Linked DNA regions of Oreochromis niloticus. Each later gene encodes a partner of the first gene's protein in a complex. Links are inferred from orthologs where the notes say so. Each region holds a gene or a part of one and is shown on either strand. Other genes may lie near its edges.

Evidence for each region. The genes of interacting proteins can lie anywhere in the genome.
Region 2: eif2b2 (region 1) and eif2b3 share a complex: the UniProt entries of both Homo sapiens proteins name them as parts of the translation initiation factor 2B (eIF2B) complex. The link is inferred for Oreochromis niloticus from reciprocal best matches to the Homo sapiens genes EIF2B2 and EIF2B3.

Annotation. Positions count from the first base shown.
Region 1 is NC_031980.2:9,344,517-9,352,184, forward strand, and holds the start of eif2b2 (translation initiation factor eIF2B subunit beta), read left to right. Parts: upstream 1-4,652; 5' UTR 4,653-4,765; coding exon 4,766-4,937; intron 4,938-5,211; coding exon 5,212-5,332; intron 5,333-6,492; coding exon 6,493-6,641; intron 6,642-6,723; coding exon 6,724-6,887; intron 6,888-6,973; coding exon 6,974-7,069; intron 7,070-7,147; coding exon 7,148-7,285; intron 7,286-7,378; coding exon 7,379-7,445; intron 7,446-7,574; coding exon 7,575-7,668. UniProt on the Homo sapiens protein: Acts as a component of the translation initiation factor 2B (eIF2B) complex, which catalyzes the exchange of GDP for GTP on eukaryotic initiation factor 2 (eIF2) gamma subunit.
Region 2 is NC_031982.2:15,477,464-15,485,151, forward strand, and holds the start of eif2b3 (translation initiation factor eIF2B subunit gamma), read right to left. Parts: upstream 3,008-7,688; 5' UTR 2,700-3,007; intron 1-2,699. UniProt on the Homo sapiens protein: Acts as a component of the translation initiation factor 2B (eIF2B) complex, which catalyzes the exchange of GDP for GTP on the eukaryotic initiation factor 2 (eIF2) complex gamma subunit.

The DNA.
Region 1 (7,668 bases):
AGTAAACTAGATCCTTGGTGCCCTTTTATCAAGTGAAGGCTCTTTGAAAACACAGTTTGTTGTTACTCTGATGACACAATTGGCAACCACTGAACTTCTGTGTTTTGTCACTTAATTTGCATACATGTCTGGTAGCTAAATTTAACTGTTTAGTTTTTTTTTTCATATTGTAATTACCACTTAGTTCTTTCAACTGGTAATTTTCTTTTTCTTTTTGGGGGGTTGTGAGTTGTCAGTAATATTCTTAGTTGTAAATTAGGTCATTTCTATGGGCTCTTGCATAGAGTTTTGTTTCGGAACATTAACATCACCTATCAAATGAAGCAAGGAACCAAAAACCTTGTTCCTAGGAAGGAATTTGTAACATCCTATGTATATGGTTATGAGTAAAAACACCCTCCTGATTTCTATTATACAGTTTAGATATATATATATATATATTTGTGAAAGCTTCTCCTGTCAGAGTGCAATGGACGGAGGTGTTGAAATGTAAAGCTATCCAAGCATTTTCAGTCATAGGCCCTTCTTCTTGACACTGGTAGAGCTAATTATTCTTCTGAAATTTCACAAATATCGGTTCCCAACTACAGTATGTGCAGATCCATCCAACATGCTTCTTTCCAGCAGAATTGTTTTGGCTCGGGGTGGTTGCAGATTGTTTTTGATGGGGATAAATTAAAGCATCTGTCATGGGGTACATTTTTAACAGTGAACATTGTGCGCAGTCACTGATTTTTATGTTGACTGATTAAATTTTGTAAATTTGTGTTGGGCTTTTATTCAATAAACTATTGGATGGATTTACATTATTTTTGTTTTGTCCTTTGAATTGCCTATTTAGGCATGTTTGAGAAGTAGGAGACGCATGTAGAGTGCATGTGCTCTCATTGGCTGATTTGTTATGTACACCTGCTCAACTGCCAAGTAGTGCATGCATCTAATCAATCACATGGCAGCAGCTCAGTGCATTTAGACATGGTCAAGACAACCTGCTCAAGGTCAAGCTGAGCATCAGAATGGCAAAGAAAGGTGATTTGCGTGGCTTTGAATGTGGCCTGTTTGCTGGTGCCAGATGGGCTGGTCTGAGTATATCAGAAACTGCTTGTCCACTTGAATTTTCTCCACACAACCATCTCCAGGGTTTCCAGAGTGTGGTCTGAAAAAAAGGAAAATTTCCAGTGAGCAGCAGTTCTCACAAGTTGGGTGAAACTCCCTCATTGATGCAAGAGGTCAGAGAATGACCAGATTGTTTGAATCATTTTTAGTCATGTTTTTATTGTGTTTTTACTGTTTTAAATACAACAGAAACCTCCATTTATTTATTTTTTTCCTTTCCACGTTTCCAACATGTTACATATGCATGTTCTGTATTGTTTAGCTGTAAAGAAGGCTAAAGAGCAACTTCTGCTCTTATTTCACATGTACTAATGCTTTATAGCAGTTTTAAACAACGCCTGTTTGACTACAATGGCAACTGTCACTTCAGTTAGACTGTCATTCTTCTGTTACTGCTGGTTGATTGAAAGCAAATAATAGCTCAAAAAACCACTTGTCACACCCAAGGTATTCAGAACAGCGTCTATGAATGGACAACATACAGAAGCTTGGGAAGACCACACCAGGTGTATTTCCTGTCTGCTAAGAAGAGGAAACTGAGGCTAAAGTTCACGCAGGCTCACCAGAATTGGACAAAAGAAGATCTGGAGTAAAGAACATGAAAACATGGATTCTGTATGCCTTGTATCACAGGTTCAGGATGGTAGTGATAATGTAATGAAGTTGGGGATGTTTCTTTGGCAGCACCTTGTTGAATCTTTGCCACAAAGAATTAAAGCAGTTCTGAAGGCAAAAGGGTGTGCTACTGAAGTGTGTTTATGTTTGTTTATGACTGTTAATGAATCTGCTGAGTGCTACAGTTTCTAACATGAAGTCATCATGTTAAAGTGACTTGGTGCTTTCATGTCTGACACTTTCCAGTAGCCTAATGTTTAGATGTGGAAGTCACCTTTTAAATTTATTTTTTGCCAGATCAAAGTGAAAAAAAATCAATTAAATAATTTTAGTAATAAACAATCTAGAAATAGACTAAAATTTAGTGGAAAAACAGAATTGCTAACAAATTAAAACCAAGCTTTTAAACCAGAAATCCAAACATCCCATCACCATAACAGCGGTTATCTAGGTTGGCTAGAGAACATGCCTCACTAACCTATTAATCTCACTTTTTACAACAACTGTGCTGATCACAAAAATTCTGCTGATCATCATAATGACCAGTAAAATTTCTTTTTTTCATGCCTTAAAGCACATGAATAATGATCACTAATGAGTAATTAGTAATCAAACTGTCCAGAAGATCATAACCATCTAAACACAGCTAGGATGCATGCAACACAGCGTATCTGAAGAAATGATGGAGCCATTAACCTCATGTGGAAGATGCTTCAATCCAAACAATTTCCAATAGATTGGACCTCTGCAGTGAGAAGAGGCAGATGCCATCAAAAGATAAAAGGTGAGCAACTGTGTTGTTGTCTTTGTGTTTTGTGAGGCGATACTTTAAAATGTCTTATATGCATTCAAATAAAATGCTTGTGTCTAAAAGAAGAAGGCTGACAGTCATGACTGTTACTGGAAGATAATACAGAGACGCCAGGGTGTACTTTAGTTAGAGATTCCATTTATAGTTTGCCATCAATTATTCAGACTCCCAGATCAGCGCCAGAGGATACCTGCACCATAATCACTATCCACCAGGCTCAATACAAAATCATATGATTGTGACAGACAATAACCTCAACATTAATTTCAAGGTGATGGAATATCATGGGACTGCGCTCTATTATCGCTCTGTTATAATCCCCCTGCATAAAGCAACAGTCCCATTCTAGTGAGCCGCCATATTCCGAGAAAATATATATTACTTATAGTTAGTAGAAATCCAAGAAAAGTCAGCAGTATTTCAATGGCTTAATATCAAGGCCAAACTTCCACTCAGCCTCAGACTCAAGTAACCAAGGGCTGCTTGAGAATATAAACAGCTGACAAGGATACAAAAAGTTAAAAAAAAAGAAAAAAAAAAAAAGGGAGATGATTTATTTTGGCTTCAAGCATCATACTGAGCCACATGTAAAATCCTACTCTTTAAGACTGTTTTCCAACCACTGTGCCCGAGAAATGATCAGGAGTACCCTGGAAGATTATCTGGTTCCACCTGATTAGTACACTAAGCGATCGGCGTGAGTAACTGGCAGAACAATTACATTCTCTTCCACTAGAGGGCAGTACAACCACCTGCTCTAATTAAATGGGTTGCCAACTCCGAGTAAAATAGAAGATGACGTAGAGAAAATTACATTGTCAGTGAGACAACGCAGCGCGTAATAGCAATAGATAAATATTTGAAAAGAAAAAGTAGTCAATCTGACCTGGGTCCTGGAGAAAATTGCGACCCAGACGAAGGCCGTAGCATGAGTAGTGATCAGAAAAAGCAAAAAAGGTATACTGGGGACAAACCGAGCCAGTTCCGCTATGCCTGGTGCGCGGGGGGAAATTATCAATATGCTTTTTGTGACATTTTTGTTTGGTGGTGTGCCGCGTGATTTTTCTAATGTGAAATATGTGCCATGGCTCCAAAAGGTTGGGAAACACTTCTTTAGGAAATATATGTTTTCAACAGTGCAGTGTGATCACTTTCAATGACAGTCTGACAATGACAGGAAGAAGAAAAGCCTCTTGTGATGGGTTTGTGTGTTATTTATATTTTAATTAGTTGTATATCATTTTTTAAAATTATTTTTGTTGCATTCAGTATGTATAAATTAACCAGGAGTGCACTACATCTAATAAACTGTCAACTTTGTGTAAATATACATATGTTTCTACAAACCTTATTTGAGACCAAACGAGCAGCCCGTTCACTAATTTCTCAATTAAAATGTTTTAACGATGCATAGACGATAAATATGTACTATTTTTATTGCTATGATAGTAACTATTAATATTACTATAATTAATCTTTCTTGCGCAGTTTCCCATTTCTCTTAAAAATCTACTTCTTTTAACCTCTCTTCGTTTTCATCCAGCATCTACGGCCCAAAATGGCCATAAAAAGGAATATTTGTCAACAAAGAATTAAATTAAGCACAAAGCATTGACCAGAAAGGTGTATGCTTTAGCTGAAGCTTGTTATATCTCCAATGTATACAGAGCATATTTTCACAAATAGCAAGCAAGACTTTTATTATGGAATCTAATTTCTGCCACTAGGAAAACTAAAATTAAAAACGTTTCGTCTATAAGTCCAAAGATGGAGTTATTGTCTCAAAATTTCAGCTTATGTACTCAATCTTCTGAGAAAATAACTAAAAATTGATCAAATCCATCCATCCATCCATTCGCTTCCGCTTATCCTTTTCAGGGTCGCGGGCAAATAGCATATATGTTCAAGGTATTAAGTCCAGGTTTTGAGATAATAACCCTATTTTTTTATTTGTGTTTTACGATATATAAGTAATAATAAAATATATATATATATATCGTTGTTTTACATTTCACTTTCAGACTGTCATTTTACTGTAGAAATGGGAAATTGTTGTAATTTCAACCCACTCTACTGTAACGCACGTGAAGCGGCAGACCAATCAGATGACGGCGAGCCCACAGCCACCCGGATGTACTCCTGAAGTGCTTCCTCGTCAAAACACTGGCATGGTGGAACTATTGAGTGACTCTAGTGTTACAGTTACAGCTTTTTAAACCAGCTATGCCGGGCCCATACAAAGAAACAGACCTAACCGAGAGGGTTGAGGCGTTCCTGTCCGACCTGAAGCGCGGGGGGACCGGGGCGGGACCTCTCCGGGGCTCTGCGGAGACAGCCCGAGAAACGACAGCCCTGCTCCGCAAAATTACAGCCCAGGCTCGGTGGGGCAGTGCAGGTGCTGAATGCTGTTTATTGTCGACACAGTGAAGCTAACTGCAGCGACAGCTGCCATTGTAGTCAAACAGGCTTTGTTTTTAAATCTGGTATAACGCTGTAGTACATGAGAAAAAGCTTTCTTTAGCTTTCCTTACAGCTAAACAATACAGAACATATATATGTAATATGCTGAACATGTGGGGAAAAAATGGAGGTTGCTGATGTAAAATCATACACAAAAAAATATTCTATCCTAAGATTTTGGTCTTTTACAAACATCTTCTCGATTTCAGGTGATCTGATGGAAATAATCCGCAAAGAGGGGAGGAGGATGACAGCAGCCCAGCCCTCAGAGACCACAGTGGGTAACATGATCAGACGGGTGCTGAAGATCATCAGAGAGGAATATGCCAGGTGAGGACGCCAAAACGTACCATTTTCAAAAAAATATTTGCTCCTTTTTAATTTTATAGCAACGTGTCCCAAAAAAGTTGGGACGAGGAGAACAAAAGGCTGGAAAAGTAAGCAGTACCAAAAGTAAACAGCTGGAGGAACATTTTAAAACCAATTACGTGAACTGGGAACAGGGCATTAACATGACTGGGTATAAAAGAGGATCTTAAAGAGGCAAAGTAAAGTAAAGATCGGCAGAGGTTCACCAGTCTGCAAAAGCCCTCCATAAATTGTTGATGAATTTCAGAATAATGTTCCTCAGTGTAAAAATGTGAACACTTTGAATATCACATCATGAAAAGATTTTGAGAAACTCGAGAAGTCTCTGTGCGCAAGGACCAGACTGAAAAACAGGACTGGACGCCTGTGGTATTCAGGCCATATTCAGATGGCACTGCATTTAAAACAGACATGATTCTGTCATGGAAATCACTGCATGGTATCAAGAACACTTAAAGAAACCACTGTTTGTGTTCACCTGTGTTCATCCACAAGTGTATGTTAAAGCTATACCATGGAAAGAAGAAACCAAATGAAGTGAGTCAAAGTGGAAAACTCTTCTGTGCATCATCAGTGCTGAAAACTATTTACATGTTTTAGAGTAACACATGTTCCCATTCAGATATTGGTAAACTGCATCTTGTACAGCAGTGTGGCTCTGTAGTAGAGGTGCTTTGGCTCTGAGCTTCCCTGCCTGCAGTCCAGACCTTTCACTATCTGGAAACATTTTATGCGTGTTGAAGTAAAGTAAATGTGACAACGAAAACCCGGGACTATCGAACAGCTAGAATCCTCCAGCATCCTCCAGCAGCTTTTCTCTTCATTTCCCAGATGTTTACAAACCATTTACAAACACGTCGCCGTCCCAGCCTATTTGAGATGTGTCGCTGCCCTCAAATTGAAAACAAACTAATGAGCTGCAGTTTCAAGTTTTTTCTTCTGTCCCAGAAAACCATTTGACCTCACAGTAAAGTTGAATCAATAGGCAGCCTTGGAAGCAAGTACGATCGTACCAGAGATTAAAGGATGAGAATATATTCCTTAGAAATACTTAAGCTACAGACGGCTCAATTACTTTGTGTTTTTTGTGAGATTTGTGCTTAGCTGTGTTTTTCTTTCAGATCTCGGGGCAGCAGTGAAGAGGCAGACCAGGAATCCCTCCACAAGTTGCTGACATCTGGGGGACTCAGCGAGGAGAACTTCAGGCAACATTTTGCTCCCCTCAAAGCCAACGTCATCGAAGCCATCAATGAGCTACTCACTGAGCTGGGTAAGTTGCTTTATAAACAAGATAGCGTCAGTTTTTATTTTAAATCACTCCAATTCTTGGTGCCCATCATTTTATTTTTCAGAGGGAACGACCGACAACATCGCCATGCAGGCCCTGGAGCACATCCACTCTAATGAGGTCATCATGACGATTGGCCGCTCGCGCACCGTGGAGGCCTTCCTCAAAGATGCTGCACGCAAACGCAAGTTTCATGTCATTGTGGCAGAGTGTGCTCCTTTCTGCCAGGTAGCTCATCTACATCAGTCAAAAAGGAAATACTAAATGTCTAACTTTAGATAGAAAACACATCTTATTTCTTCGCCTCCCAACAGGGGCACGAAATGGCTACAAACCTCTCAAAAGCTGGCATCGAAACAACTGTGATCACAGATGCTGCCATATTTGCAGTCATGTCTCGAGTTAATAAGGTACTTAACATTTTAAGGAGACCTTAGCGCAGTCATGTTAGAGCATGCAGGTGAACTTGTGTCATGATCTTTTTACAGGTCATCATTGGTACACAGACAGTTCTAGCAAATGGAGGCCTGAGGGCCATCAACGGGACACACACACTGGCCCTTGCAGCCAAGCATCACTCCACACCTCTGATTGTTTGTGCTCCCATGTTCAAGCTCTCACCTCAGGTAAGAGATTACTCCAAAGTCAGAGTTATCTCCTTTCAACCCCCATAAATGATTATACTCATACTTCTGTGAACATGATATGTCATATTTCAGTTTCCAAATGAAGAGGATACCTTCCATAAGTTTGTCTCCCCACATGAGGTGCTCCCGTTCACTGAAGGTAACATTTGCAAAAAAACTGACCTCAACCACGTGCCCACGTTTGGAAAATCCTTTTCAGATTTGGACATATCCTCTTTGTCATTTTTTTTTTTTTTAAATACCTCACATTTTTCTCTTCGTATTTCAGGTGAGATTCTCTCAAAGGTGAATGTGCACTGTCCTGTGTTTGACTATGTCCCGCCCGAGCTCATCACACTGTTCATCTCCAACATCGGAGGACA
Region 2 (7,688 bases), on another chromosome or scaffold:
GGAGGAGTCCGAACCGCAAAAGAAGCGCGTATTCTCGGAAAAGTGGTTGCAGGAGGTGAGCTGGCTTCAAACAAATGATGAACACACAGAGATGTGGTGCAGAATATGCCGTGAAAATCCCACTCTAGCGGACAAAAACAGTGCCTTTTATATGTACGCAAACGCGCGTTGCAACTTCTTATCTGGTGCGCGTCTTTTATTTTGACAACAAATGCGCACCTGCGGACCACTTATGTGCACCCCTGTAAATAACAATGTTCTGCCGGGTGTGTTGTTGGTTTTCCCTCGATTTCTGAGTCGACAAGCGCCTTTGTTACTGGGACCAGTAATTTTAAGAAAGACCCCCATTAGAACCCATGAGAAATGCAAGAAATGCAATATTGCTCAGTCTGCAATATCTTTCCCAGAACAAACACCAATTGCAAAGAACATACTAAAAATAAACCTGAAAAATCTGTTTAGAACAGCGTACTATGTTGCAAAGAGTGAACTACCATTGGCAAAATTTAGCAGTCTTTGCAAACTTCCAAAAAAAAATGTCCTAGATCTTGGTTTCACTTATCTCTTACCCGTGACTTCAGTGGAAATTCCAAATTCAGGACCTGTCACAGACTGATTCATGTTCTACACAGTTCTTACAAGTGCATAGAAATTTCTGTTCAATTAGAACCAAGTATTTGAGTTGATGATTGTAATTTTTATACAATGTTTAATTTGTGTTTCAACAATGTTTTGATTAATGTTTTGTTTCCGTTACAATATTATACTTTAATGTATAATATTGTAACGGAAACAAAACAGGAAACAAACCATCAATCAAAAAAAAATTGCTCTCTTTTTTAATCGGGCTACTTAAATTTATTTTGGGCTACCACAAACTGAAGAGTCCCTGCCCGAAGGGCTACCAGGGATTTTGAAATTTTGCGAGCCCTGAAGCCTGTGTGACTGAACAGTGATGCTAGACGGACTTCATTTTACAAAGTTAGGACATTAATGTTAAGGATCAGTGCACTCCTACTCAAAAGACTGAAACTGTGAATTCCCTAAAATACTAGTATCATCATCATGATCATCAAGAACTGTATTTTTCTGTCTTTCATGGTATTGGCTTGATGTACTGTGTCACTAATGAGGTCTCGGTGCTGATGGATGAGCACAGGAGTCAGGCTTCTAACATTTCTGAATGTCATGATCATGCTGGCAACTAGGGCAGTGCCACATTAAAACAACCACAAAAATACCAGTGTAACTTTTACACAATATAAAAATGTCTTATCGCAAGGTTCTTGCCTTAGCAACACCATGCATTTACATTCCCTAGTGCACACGACAATGAGACAAGACTAGGCATCTCTGAGAGTGAGAGCCATTGACGGTTTATTATAAACGAAAACCATACTTTGCAAAATATCCTAGTTCCCACTAAAAGCGAAAACAACAAACATATTTCAGCACTTGGAGCAAATACACATTGCCACAGATTGTACAGATTGTACAACCAGACTATAAAGTAGAAGATACAGTGCAAATGTAAACAAACGGCTCCACCGAGGACCACTAGCTGTTCTCTAAATGCCAGGGAGAACAAACAGTGGATGGAAATTACATATGTGGTTACATGGTGGAATAAGCAGGACATTAAGCAGCTGGTTAAAAGGCTGGTGACCCAACATACAACATCCCAGAATGTAATGCTATGTAATCACTACTTCACTATCGTGCTGGTACCCGAATAGATTCACACTTCAATAAGTCACACTTCAATCAGCATTATTGTTGAGTCTTTACCTTAAAATATAAAGCACCTTGAGGCAACTGTTGCTGTGATTTGGCACTATATAAATAAAATTGAACTGAATTTAAATTAGTGTTTCATCAATGGAAAAAAAGGATGGAAATACACTTTATTTACAGTGATGCTTATGCCTGCAAGCTGCAAGCATCAATAAAACCTTGTTCAGAATTCTTTTCTATATAATCAGTAATACTGTTATTGCAAGTTTCATTAAAATACTGTGATATAATTTTGAAGTTATACCGCCCAGCCCTACTGCTTCATTCACCTTCATTCCAAGAGCATGCACAGCTTAATACCTGTTGATTGGACTCCCAATGTCTTTTTTTCCCCAAGCATTCAGTGGTATCCACCTTCAACGCCATGATACCAGTGCATCACCAACAAGTTTGCACAACTGTGCTTCATTGTATGTAAACAAGGATGCCTGTGCTTTATTGTAACGTATGGCACCTATGGTTGCCATTATGCACCACAATGAGCGAGAATGTGCTGAAAATAAGGAAAAAGAGGAGGAATCTGCATATTGTGTTTATCATGATGAAATATGACATCTAAAATCGCGCAGTTATTTGACTCCTACAGTCATAGCTTTCTTAGTCTCAGTACAGCATGTGCTTCACACAGCGCCTGCTCTAAATAACAGAGTGTACGAGTGTACGGAATGTTATATTTGCCGGGTTAGGTGTGCTGCACACACACTCGCAACAGACGGCTCAATCCAGGTCCGCTTTCACATATCTTTTATATCTACCATGTCATCGCTGTAGTAACCACTAGCGCCAAACTGGCATGTGTGCTCAGGACATACCCTGTTGACCGAGTGCACACCCATCCTTTAAAAATCAGTTTGAATTAAGAATTAATTCAAAGCCGAAGCAGTGAGATATAAAACTTTACCTACCTGTCAGAATCCCTCCGAGCTGTTCGGCTGCCTCGAAATGACAGCGGTGCAAGACGCATGTAACTTACTTGCCGTCAGTGTTGTTAGCACTCGGCTAAGGACTAGCAGCGAGCAGTAAACGATGCCGCTTTTTCAGAGATAGATTACAACCAACCGGACACGTTTCTGAAAACCGACATGTAACTTAAATACAAGTAAATAACAGATATTTGATTTCTCGCTAAATAATTTAACAGTAATTACGCAAAAGACGCTAAGCAACTAGCATTTTAATGATGACACCTGCGTGCCTTTAGTGAAATGCGTCCGTGCGGGAAACTACTTCCTCTGTAATATGGTTCCGATCAGAGAATAGGAGAAAAACTAGACCATGATTTGTCATAGACTGAAGTTTTTTACAGACAAGAGGAAAAGGAGGAATGGGTATGGTTGAGAAGAACAGATCTGTTTAAGAAGAAAAAAAAAACTTCACTCTGCTAGGGTATAATATCATCATGCTGGCAAGCTAAACTATGATTTATACTAAATTAATTTTCCGAGTGATGATGATGATAATTGTTTTACATTATTAAAGAGATAAAGAAGATTCTTTTTTTTAAAGCTGTGGTACCAGGAATTACAAATGTTCACACATAGTAAAAATGTGAGCAGATTAGCGGCCAGAAGCCAAACAGCTACTCCTTTAGACTTAAAGCTTAGAAAAATCCCAATTCACAGAGCTGAGACGTAACAGCAAATTGAGCTCGGGGAATGTGGCTCTGGTTTTGTTTGCTCTGGCCAGGAGATGAGCTTGACTGCTCGTTACTGCCTGCTCAAAGCCAGGCAAGCACGAGAAGGGAGGGAAGAAGGAGAGAAAAAGAAAACAACAAAGAGACGAAGAGGCCTGACTGCCTGTTGTTGCCCAAACACCATAATGCCGAAACTATTGAATGCAATTTCTCCACCGTGAATGGTGATTGCTGAAAAAGTGGGTGTCCAGCTGCATTTGCTGTCTGTGATTTTTCATTGTCTTGGCTGAGTATTGCTAAACATCAGTTGAGGTCTAAGTCAGATAAGCAGCGCAGAAGAGCCATGTAGACAAATAACAAAAGAACAAACTCTAAAATCAAACAATCCCATATGCTATTTATCTTATAAAAGCATACTTTAACTGACATATGATCATTTCTGTTTATCATCTTCTGAAGCCTGCAAGGTGTTGTCAGTATGCAGGTGGCATCTTTGTCAGTTCATACAAAGGAATCTAGGAAAACAATAATAAAAAGGCCACAGTAAAAGTCAAATAAAGACCACAAAGATTACTTAACTTAGCTGGTTAACCACAGGGAGCTGAAGTGTGTGAGACATTAGAGAACTTGGCTAGTTACAAGAAAAGCTCAAACAGCAAGATAGCAAACATGTCTAAAAGGATATCAAAGTTGTTTTTTGTTTGTTTGTTTGTTCTTGTAATAATAATAATAAACGGGGTTAGTACAGAAGTTTTTTGTGTGATGTCATCTGCACAATACTTGAGTTTTCCTCTATAGTGGATGTGATATCCTTGTGATGGTGTTGTTCTTGAGTCATAATAATGTTGTGTTGTAAAAACTTTGGAATGTGGTGGGAAAACAAAAAAGTGTTTGTTTACATAAACTCTCTTCTGGAATAAATGGTAAGTGTTTTAGTTTTTAATAGCAATAGATAACTTCTTGGCTAATGCTAACTGATTGCTCAGACAATGTGATTGGCCAGTTGATGAGATGTGCATGTGTTTTATGCTAAGTTACGTATTACTTAAAAATTTAATTAAGTACAAAGATCTTACATGGCTCAGCTTCTCTCCTCCTCCCCTCAGACATCAATGTTTCTTGCTTATCCTTTCCATACTTCTACATTCATATTCATTTTTCTTTATATTATTGCTTTTCAAGGTTATTAAAGATCTCAATAACTGTCATTTTAATCTCTCTATTTTTAATGCAGCTTTGACCGACTATAGAAAAAAAGGAAGCTTTTCAGCAAACTCTGGTTTGCTTGCAGAAAGGTTTCTAATAGGCTTTGTCATCATATACTGCCCTAAGGATATCCTTCCATACACATAGAGAAAATGCTATTGAACAATCTCTCTCTTCATTTAGCATGTTCATTGTAAGGAGGAGCCCTACAGAGACACACTGTAGGGCTTCTTTGATATATGTGGGGAAAACGGGGGAGAAGAAAACAGAATTGAAAAATGAGGCAAAGAGGAATCACATGTAAATTAAAAAATTCCCCGAGCGTATGTATTTTACATATTTTCAAAATACGCTTTATTTGTCAGAAATGAAGACATCCGACTGAGCGGTTAGAGGAAGACAAAATGAAAAAAGGTCCAAAACAGAATGCCACAACTCCGAGACAGAACCAGATGGGGATATGCATGCAAACAGACATGGAGACAGTCGTGCAGGTCTAATCGTTGAGTGACTTGAAATGGAGCCCTAAGATTTCCTCTGATTTCCTCTCCCTCCTTGGCTCTGTTGCAGCATCTTGTAAATCATTCTCAGTTCACTGAAACAAGCCAGTTGGATTAGCTTGGTTTAGATCATAAACATTTGTAGCACAGACCACCCAGCGAGAGAACAGAGCCAAGGCGAGAGTCTGTGTGAGTGTACATGCATGGGTGTGTTTGTGTGTGTGTTTGAAGCCTCCCTCTGAGTTTAGAGGTGGGTACTGCAGAACATACAAAGTCACACATGCGCACACACACAAACGCACACACACACACGCACACACGCACACACATACTTATACTGTGGTTTGTGTTTGCTCCACTTCCAGGGCCAGTGCTCTGTGGGGCCCTTACCACTGCTATGGAAACTAAAACCGGCACGTTCGCCCAGTCAGTGTCAGAGATGAACGCACATGCTCGCAGTTCAAAGATTAAGATGTCTCACTGTGGCAGCGATGCAGAAACTGTTTTACATTCCTTCGGTGATGTGATTAGTTTTTTTCTACTAATTTACTGCGAATGCACTTTCGTTTATTGCATGCTAAAAACCTCCCTCTTGTTATGAAATACTTCACAAGATCCATTGTCACTGTTTTATTGGACTGAAACCCAGAATGCAAATTTGTTCATCATCAGCCTCAAAACCAGCTGTGAAATGTTATATGTCAAACAACTGTGATATAAAGTGTGTTTTTTGGGGACTCGCAAATAAATGTCATTTTTTTTCACCTGACATTCAACAGTCTGCGTCACTAGACCTTGAAATTCATTCCTTTTCACTTGAACACAGTTGGAGTAATTCTCTTCTTGTTTCTCTCTGCTTTCAGGAGGGATCTGAGAGCCAAGCTGGTGTCAGAACCAGGAAATATCTGGGTTGGGTTTTGAGAAGCCAGAGTGGGAAAAGCTGGACAACTCCCTGCTGCAGGGCGCTGGCACTTTTCTCTGTAAGATGCTGTTTGAGGGTCTCTATAACCCATCTGACTGTGCATGTTATCCATTTGCATCCCTCCCTGTTGAGCTACAATACTGGCAATTGTTGTCTATCGCTCTGCCACATTTTCCATTACGAGACTCCGTATTTACTCAATTATAAGACAATTCCTTTTTTCTGAAAATTAAATGTAAAATAGTTGTGGTCTTCATGAGTCTGAGGGTAAATGCTGGATCTTCGGTAACAGAGTATAGCAGCTGTTGAAAGTGAAATGATTATATTTTTAAAAAGCGTGCTGCAAACGCAAAGGCTGTCATTGTCAAGTTTGTAAAGGCCTTTCTCAATCGTCTCTGTGCGATAAAGGCTGTACAGGAAGGCTGTTTTGAAGATCTACTAAGGTGGTAACAAAGGAAGATTAATATAGACTTATACAGGAAAAGTGCTAATGGAAGAGGGAGGATTTTGCAAGAAGAAAGGAGAGAGTTTGCCCATATCATTTGAACTGCAGCTCGCTGTCTGCGTCTGTGTGTCTTTGCTTGGCCACATTCTGTCTGATGGACTTTCTGGGAGGTCTGTTAACCACACAGGGCAAACACGAACAGACACACATGCACACACACCTTTATATATACACTCTATAGCAATAAAAACAAAAGTATATGGAACATTTTGTACCTTTTGTTTAGAGATCATTCATTTCAAATCAATCTAATTGATACCTTTATATTGGGGATGAACACCAGATCATTACATTACACTGCTGAACTGTGTTATATATTATTTAAATGCAAAAACTTGAATTTTTATAGACTACAGTATTATAACCTAAGTTAACAAATCCTAAAGTTTTCAAATCCTAACTCTGTAACTAACTCTGTAACTATCTAACCCCTAAAAAGCAAAAGCATAAATGTACGAAATTAATAAATCGCTCTCCTTTTGGAACATTTTGTGGGTAAGCGATGACTCAGCTATGGATTTAACTCTTTTTATGTATAAACCTGTCCCATTTTATGGACAACACACCCAAAATGTTTGGTCATGTTTGATCTCTCTCGATCTGGTGGCCTTCCTGTTCAGCAGAAAAAAAAGCGGACATGCACACACACACACACACACACACACACACGTGCGCGCACACACATGTACGCATCACGCACTTGTAAAAATCTTCTTTTCAACTGAAATAAATGTTTATAGCATTCCAAACATTTTGTGTGTGAGACAGTATGTGTGGTCCTGTCTGCACCTAGCGTGTGGTTTGAGGTTAAGGTGTTTGTCTGCTGGTGTGTGAGCACGCCAGTGATGTGTGTGTGTGTGTGTGTGTGTGTGTGTGTGTGTGTGTGTGAGAGAGAGAGAGGATCAGAGAGATGTAGAAATGGAGAGCAAGAAACACTAGTGTTTGTGTTTGAAAATGGGAGCAAGGCAGAGAGAATTAAGGAAAAAAACACTGTCTGGGGTATTTTATTGTATCCATTAAATTACTGAATTCACTAAATTTACTAATTCACTAAATTGCTAATAAATTTAGCCTTTAAAAAGCTACAATATAAGAGAGATACACTTAGTACTGGCCAAGACTTAAACA